2 linked regions of the Tribolium castaneum genome follow. The protein of the gene in region 2 binds, or shares a complex with, the protein of the main gene of each other region. Links are inferred from orthologs where the notes say so. Each region holds a gene or a part of one and is shown on either strand. Other genes may lie near its edges.

What was found. The genes of interacting proteins can lie anywhere in the genome.
Region 1: the proteins of Orc2 (region 2) and Orc5 are in contact, whole or in part, in a cryo-EM structure (PDB 7JPO), measured with the Homo sapiens proteins. The link is inferred for Tribolium castaneum from reciprocal best matches to the Homo sapiens genes ORC2 and ORC5. Residues at the interface, in NP_006181.1 of Homo sapiens: Val240, Glu241, Tyr243, Phe244, Glu245, Ser248, Asp396, Gln398, Arg401, Gly402, Glu403, His426, Asn428, Ala429, Pro430, Leu431, Met432, Trp433, Asp434, His435, Gln438, Trp445; in NP_002544.1 of Homo sapiens: Asp324, Lys325, Phe328, Leu329, Leu359, Asp360, Arg361, Ala364, Tyr367, Ser368, Ala378, Asn379, Phe381, Ser382, Gln383, Thr385, Ser386, Thr389, Asp400, Gln401, Leu402, Asp403, Tyr407.

Annotation. Positions count from the first base shown.
Region 1 is NC_087395.1:23,971,378-23,975,322, reverse strand, and holds the start of Orc5 (origin recognition complex subunit 5), read right to left. Parts: upstream 2,801-3,945; 5' UTR 2,668-2,800; intron 2,405-2,667; exon of another isoform or gene 2,236-2,404; intron 1,663-2,235; exon of another isoform or gene 1,547-1,662; coding exon of another isoform or gene 1,490-1,546; intron 1,433-1,489; coding exon of another isoform or gene 924-1,432; intron 871-923; coding exon of another isoform or gene 474-870; intron 426-473; coding exon of another isoform or gene 393-425; exon of another isoform or gene 387-392; intron 326-386; exon of another isoform or gene 190-325; intron 89-189; exon of another isoform or gene 15-88; coding exon of another isoform or gene 1-14. Other genes in the region: annexin B9-like, read left to right, coding at 1-14; annexin B9, read left to right, coding at 393-425, 474-870, 924-1,432, 1,490-1,546; NCK-interacting protein with SH3 domain, read left to right, coding at 3,056-3,080, 3,132-3,945. UniProt on the Homo sapiens protein: Component of the origin recognition complex (ORC) that binds origins of replication. DNA-binding is ATP-dependent. The specific DNA sequences that define origins of replication have not been identified yet.
Region 2 is NC_087397.1:6,382,138-6,385,838, forward strand, and holds Orc2 (origin recognition complex subunit 2), read left to right. Parts: upstream 1-1,319; 5' UTR 1,320-1,470; coding exon 1,471-1,477; intron 1,478-1,533; coding exon 1,534-1,719; intron 1,720-1,766; coding exon 1,767-2,645; intron 2,646-2,693; coding exon 2,694-2,927; intron 2,928-2,972; coding exon 2,973-3,172; 3' UTR 3,173-3,201; downstream 3,202-3,701. Other genes in the region: uncharacterized protein LOC655336, read left to right, coding at 336-868. UniProt on the Homo sapiens protein: Component of the origin recognition complex (ORC) that binds origins of replication. DNA-binding is ATP-dependent. The specific DNA sequences that define origins of replication have not been identified yet.

The DNA.
Region 1 (3,945 bases), on a different chromosome or scaffold from region 2:
TTGGGGAAGCGTAATTTGGAACGAAAATCTTCTTTTGATATCCTTATTCATGTATTAATATTTGTGTAAATAAATGAATCATATTTTGGTTTTGTATTTATTTCCCGAAATTCATTTATCACAAAAATTACCGCCGTACCCATTCTGTGAAAACTGCTTTGTTAATCGGCGATTGACTTAGCCCCCTTCCAAACATTGTGCATAAGGAAGCAAAAATAATCATTCCGATAAGCCGTTTTATTGATTCTAATGTTTAGCTTCACTCAGTCTTCTAAGGTTTCCACTTGCAACAACTTGTCCCAATTTCGAGTCAACAAATTTTCAAGTAAGTGCAGTTAATGAACACATCATTAAAAAAAATTCAATATTAATATAAAACTATTTAGCCCAAAATGAATCACTTCGGATGTTCCAAAATACCAAAGGTATGTTAAGGAGTAGATAAAAAACTAGTTAATATCTTTATTACCCAGCACTCCCAAATTGCCACATCTCCAACAGTAACACCTTCGAAATTTTTCCTCTCAAGTGAAGATGCCGAAGTTTTACACAAAGCAATGACAGGGCCCGGAACTGACGAAAAAGCCATCGTTAACATTATCACGAAACGGTCCTTAGCCCAACGTTTAGAAATAATGTCTCAATTTAATAAACACCACAATAACAATTTAATCTCCGAGCTTAAAAAAGAATTAAGCGGCGACTTGAAACAACTAATTTTGGCCCTAATGACACCACGTGAAGAATTGTACGCTGAGGAATTACACAGGGCTATTAGCGGGTTAGGAACCGACGAAGATGTCCTAATTGAAGTTTTATGTACTTTGAATAACGCAGAAATTATGACCATCAGACATGCTTATCACAAACGTAACTCGTTTAGTTATTGGAAAAATATCACTTTTTCGTACTATTTTTTCTAGTGTTTCACAAAAGCCTCGAAGGTGACATAAAAGGGGACACCAGTGGCTACTTTAAACAACTTTTGGTAGCCCTCTGCGGTGTTCAACGTGACGAGTGTGCCGCGACCGATAAAACCGAGGCAGTTTCCGAGGCTGAAAATCTATACAATGCTGGGGAAAACCAATGGGGGACTGACGAATCCACTTTTACTAAAATTCTAACCGAGAGAAGTTATCCTCAACTTCGGCTTATTTTCGCAGAGTATGAAAAATTGACTGGTCACGGGATCGAGCAAGCAATTAAGAGTGAATTCTCCGGTGATATTAAAGACGGTTTATTGGCAATTGTGGAGACAGTTCAAAATAAAGCAAAATTTTTTGCCAAAAAATTGCATAAGAGTATGAAAGGCTTGGGAACTAATGATCGAGATTTGATAAGAGTGGTTGTGACCAGGAGTGAAATTGACATGGGGGAAATTAAAAATGAATATCAAAAAGAGTACGGGAAGACTTTGGCTGAGGCTATTAAGGTATGACAATTTAATTCTAGGAATGATTAAATTAATTTGTAAAATTGGGCGTTATAGGGCGATACATCCGGCGATTATAGAAAATGCCTTCTAGCTCTTATCGGCGAAAAGTAATTGTGGGGCCAGTTGAGTGTTGCCATTTTTTAATATTCTATTTATTCACTGTATTATTATTATTATTACTATTATTAGATTTTACATTATTATCAATAAAATTTTATTAAATTTTATTCATTTGGTTATTTTTTTCCAACATCTACACCTTTATTTCCGCATGAATCATTCACTTCAGGTGACCCACTGATAACAGTGATAACATAAAACCTGTTACACGAAATACTAAAAATCTTTCCGCTTGCAGTAAGTGGGAAATACTATGATAAGCATTTTGGTGAAAATAAATCCTTTTATGAAATGGAGTAAAAATAAAACTGTATTGATAGCTTAGATAGCTTAAAAATCGAGTGATATTTAAAAAAAACTTGGTTTAATTCTGAATTAAATCTTAATTTTGCTTTCTGTAAACAAAAGTCAGATCACGTGGTCAAACTGAACCAATCAAATGCTTTGATTGACGAACTAATTGGGAATTAACTTTTACCAGCGAATTCACTTTTTAAAAACTGACCCTAGACCTAACATTCCCAGTTTATACATTTCCAAAGCAAATAACTTGGATTTTACACGCATTTATCGACTTTTCCAACAATAACCAACTTTTACGCAGTTTTTTCGCTGGTAAAAACAGTACACAAAGCCGCCTTGTAAATGGGCAAAATGTTTCGTATTTATAAAACACAAACCTTTCCAACTTCCGAAACAAATAATTCTCGAAGCACAAAACACTTTAAACTTGCACGAGAGCCAAACTTTAATGTTTTAAACCGTCACGAAAGGCACAAAACGCAAAATGAAAAATTTGGGAAAACGCTACTTGAATTTTTACGCCGGTGGACGGCGCCACCAGCGATACACAACCACTTGATTTGTTCAAAAAATTCACTCAACTAAAATATAAAACCATTTAAATCGGCAAATTATTCCAGCCAAACAGCTAAAATCATGCTAAATTCTATCATGCCCCCAATTTTTTTATTGAATAAAATTATATATTGCCGGTTTGAGCGCCTATTACCTAACCTTAAAAAACACAATGTTGATTTTTTGTCCACTTGTCAGCAAGTAAATAACTAGTCGAGAATAGCGTTAGGTAAAATAAGATAAATTCCACTTACCCAACTGCTGTCAATTCAAAACAAACAGTTTTTTCGTACAAACAGGCACAAGAATCAAATTTGACGAAAACCTTGAAACTCAATGTCGCCACCCGTAAAAAGTTTCACCAAATGGATTTGATTTCACAGAAATACAACGTACAATGAACCCAAGGTACAATTTTCGATATTTGTGTGAGACGAGGGGGTTGGTTTTGGTAACAATTTGTATAAGTAAACGTGAATTAAAAAAATAAATTTGAATTTGACGGATCGGGTCCTGCGGCTAGTGCACGAGCGAGCACGATCCAACAACATAAACAAAAAAGAGGCGTGACACATTTATTTGTCAAAACAATAATTAATCCAATTATTACTTTCACTTTGGCCGCTTTTACGTAACACCACCATGTCACAGAAGATAGTTTTAACAGGTGAGCCCTTAAAGCGCCTCTTTTTCAATCGCCACCCCATTAATAAATCAGGCACCCTCGACATGCTCCACAGTCTCTACGACTTCAAAGCAACGTACGCAAAAACCCTCAGTTTTCGCACCAACGAATACTTCATCCTGCACCAAAGCAACACCAAGCACAAAAACTGGTGGGAAGTGATAAACGAAGCTGGGGAAATGGGGTTCATCCCCTCGAACTACGTCGAGACTGTCACTGTGAACCCCTCGTTTTACCTCCAGTTCGTCGACAACTGTCTCGAGAACCTGAAGAAGCGCGCGCCGGTGGAGAACCTCACCGACCGCCACGAAATCATCCTGCGCTTGAAAGAAGTGAAGAAGGAGATCGAGGAGCTGCCCGAGGTCGGGGGTCACGGGGACGACCTCAAGACGTTACATTACAAAAACTCGGATATGGGGCGGTTTGAGAGCATGAGCTCGCAGTCTTCGCTCCTAACCGAACTAAAAAACGACATTGAGGAGCCCATCAAGCCTGTGAAAGCGAACAAAGAACGCGTGAGGAAGTCCATCGAAAACATTCACGAGGAGGTGATTTCCGAGTGTTGCAACGACGTGAAAAAGGCAGAGCTGCCCTCGCCCGCAATCACAGACCAGTCCGTCTACGAGCTGGTTGAGAGTGTGAGGATTAATACGCAGTTGTCTTACGAAATGTCGCGGGTGGCTGTGGTTACGGTCGTTCAGGGGCTGCACGAGCTGCTGCCAGCGTCGGTGTTTCCATACTTAAGCACGATTCTGTCACAAGTACAAAAATCGCTCAATGTGGATGACGTCCAAATTGACCAAACGCACGATGCTAGTCGACTTAAGATCATCTTTAATGAGCTCAC
Region 2 (3,701 bases):
ATTTTCAAATGTTGACTGAATTTTTTATCGCACTATTTGCTTCAAAATCGCGATAAATGTTTTACGTAACGCTGTTTACTACGTCCCAACTCTTTGTGTTTTTAACCACACTTCATTGTTAATTTTGCACCACGTGTCCACAATAAATAATTCCAAGTGAATTCTTTGTTTTCCTTTCGTTAATATGTGGCCACCCGGTATTGAAACTTATCTAACGCAAACAAGTCTAAATCCAGTTCATTGTTGAATGGCCGTCCGCGCGCACCATGGAGCCCCTCCCCTTGACCGGTAACGCCATTCCCTTGGTGGTAACAGCCCCATATGGTCTTTTCCAGATAGTACCACGGCCCAACAGGTCCGCTTCCCCTCCGCCACCAAGACCAAGTCCAGTGGCGTGGACGACGGTTTCAAAGGCGAGGCCGCGAAATGCGGCACTTCTGTGGTGCGAGTGGCCCACCAGATGGTGTTAGGGAAAGCCATCCGTGGCTTTGACATCCAGAAAAAAGATTGTGATTTGCCCCCAGAGGGTTTCAACCCTTCGTTACGTCGAGGGAGCAAGTCGTTGCCCGCGTCGCCCCTGACGTCCCCCAACTCGTCCCCGAAAAGCACGCGACGCGTGAACAAATACTTCACGGGGCCTTTTGTCGACTCCGAACACCAGGGCAGTTGGATTTTGTCGAATTTGTTGGCCAAGAGGCAGAATTTGTCACAGAGTATGGGCTTTATCGCTGAAGAGGAGAAGGAGATGAAGAGGACAGAGTCGAATTTGAGTGTGGATGAGGTGTCGAATGGCAAGAGGAGTCAGGTGTTTGTACCCAAACCGTCAGAACTTAGGGAAATGAATTTTTGGTCTCCCACTTCCATGTGAAGTGGGCACATTTAATGTTGTCTAAGCAATATCTTTAATTTTTAGTTGGTTTCTTTTAGACATTGATTATTTTTGTAACTGTAATCATAATGCTCATTAAATTTATTTAAGTACACCAAAATCGTGTTTTAATGCCGCAAGATCGACCTCAAAGTCGCTAGTTATTTTAGAACACCCGTGGGTGGTATAAATAGAATTTGTTCTACGACTCGGGTTTTGGCGGGGTTACTTCCAAAAAACGTTTCCATGAGGTAATTAGGGGGCCACATGCTCGGAATAAAAAGCCAAAAAAAAAATATATAAATTCACACCAATATGATAACTTGACCGAGACTATCCAAATAATAGCAATTGTTAGTTGGTAAAGATTACTAGCATAGTAAATTATGCTGAAATTTCGTCCAAACGTTGCTTTTTACTCTACATACAGCTTTCCAAAAAATTTTAAAAATGACTAAATGTCAAGTGTATAATTGGTTGCATAGTCACTTTGTTTTAATTTTAAGTTTGGAGGGCGCCAAACGTTTTAATATCGAAATATTAGCAACAATTTGCACTAAACTTTAATTATAATTGCTGCTTAAGGTTACTAGTGGTCTGAAATGGCAGGTTTGTACCAATTTCTCTCTTATTTGACCTGAGAACCCACCTAACCTCAATTTTAGACGACTGTGCAGACCCTGAGTTATTTTCGCCCCGCAGGGGTTCCCGGCAACGCAATTTGAGTCTAAAAGCTAAAGAATACGTATCTACTTCCAGTAGGAGGAAACGTGGCTTTAAAAAACTGAATATTTCTACAGCAACTGAGTCTGAGGACGATTCCAATTGTGAGAGTAGTGAAAAACCAACAGGTGGACCATTTGCCTGTTGTATAACTTCCTTCATGAGTTTTTTGTAGTTTTGCACGATAATGACCATGTCCCTGGTGATAAATTATTCACGTTTCAAACGCGCAAAAAGTGCGAAGTCGTTCAACAAACGCCGCACGCTTTTAGGGACAAAATGAGGAAAAATATCGTGGCGAAAATTTTGGAAGAGAATGGTTCGAGCGGAGATGATTTTTCAGCCAGTGAGAGTGAATTCGAAGTGTCTGAGGAAAATTCAGAGGAGTCTTCCAGCAGTGACGACACACCGCCTCCCCCGCAAAACAAAAATATTAAACCCACTTTAGGAGCGAGAAAAGTCAATTACACTATAAAAACAGACGATTATTTCGCACAACACGCCAGTAAAAAAACTCTAACGTCCAATCACACTTTAGATAAGTTGGAGACACCAAGACTGCCGCAAGACCAACTGCATAAACTTTTGTCGAGAGTTAGCCTAGGGTGTGAGCATGAAAAAGCCACGAAAAAATTAATCGAGACGAATTGCGCCTATTTTGATAAGTGGATGTATTTGATGCATGAAAATTTCAATATTTTGTTGTATGGGTTGGGCTCAAAGAAGGGCGTTTTGAATGCTTTTCACGAAAAGTGTTTGAAGAAGTTGCCAACGGTTGTCGTGAACGGATTTTTCCCTTCATTATCAATTAAAGATGTCCTTGACGGGATTATTTTAAATTTACTAGAACTGAAGGAAAATCCCTCAAATATTTACGAGGCCTGCGACCTTATCGAGCGCGAATTTAGTTTTATTCCCGAAACTCATTTATACCTCATTGTGCACAACATCGACATGATGCGGAGTGGAAAAGCCCAAAGTGTCTTTGCAAGACTCGCGTCAGTCAATAACATTCATCTAATCGCGTCAATTGACCACATAAATGCCCCCCTAAGTAATGAAAAATTCTAGTAGTGCGCAAAAACTTTGATTGTTGTTTTAGTTTGGGACCATTCCAAAATAAGTAAATTCAATTTCACGTGGTGGGACGTTACCACTTTCCAACGCTATATTGACGAAACGTCCTTCGAAAGCTCAATGTTGGTCCAAAGGACCGGAAACCTGGCCTTATCATCGCTTCGGAACGTTTTCTTATCACTGACGAGCAACTCCAAAGGAATTTACTTAATCCTCGTCAAGTATCAAATCGAAAATGGCAAAAAACAATACTATCAAGGTGATTTATCAGTTTGTGCGTTCAAAACTGATTGATTTGTTGCAGGCCTGGCGTTTAAAGACTTGTACTCTTTGTGCCGCGAGGCATTTTTGGTGAGTTCGGACCTGGCATTGCGGGCCCAACTCACCGAATTCGTGGACCACAAAATGGTGAAGTTCAAGAGAGCGCCAGACGGGACTGAGTATTTGATAATCCCGATTGCAAACGCGTTATTACAGCAATTTTTAAATGAACATTCCGGTTGATTGTATTTTCCAATAAAAATTTAAGTTGGCGCTCGCGTTTGAATCACCTGCTGCCATCTTCGTGGAAGACAGTCGAACTAAAAAACAAGATGGTTTCGCAGTGCTGAATTTTATTTGAGTCAAAAAATCGAATTTTTCGCTTGGTTCAGACGATCATTGTTCGAATTGTACGCAAAAATGTTATTGTGTGTCGTTTCGATATGTCGCCGCCGTGAAGGCGCATGAATGCGTGGTGAATTCCTGGGTGAGTATCATATGTTTATTTTTGAAGGTTATCTTTTGTTGGTGCTTCCACTTTTCGGGTCGTTGGGACACGCGAGGGGGCCGAAATGGCCCCAATGTGGCTGCTCGTAACTGTGCCGAAAGCCGGCCGAGGCGGTGTGAGAATGACCGGAAATTGTGGCAATTTGTAAATAAAAACAAACAATCCGTTTTATCTCTCGGTGTGAACTTTCCAAGGTTAAACCGTCTGCGTGCACGGGGGTGGCAGCCAGTGCGAGGCTTTAGCCCCCCGCGTTATTAATTGACT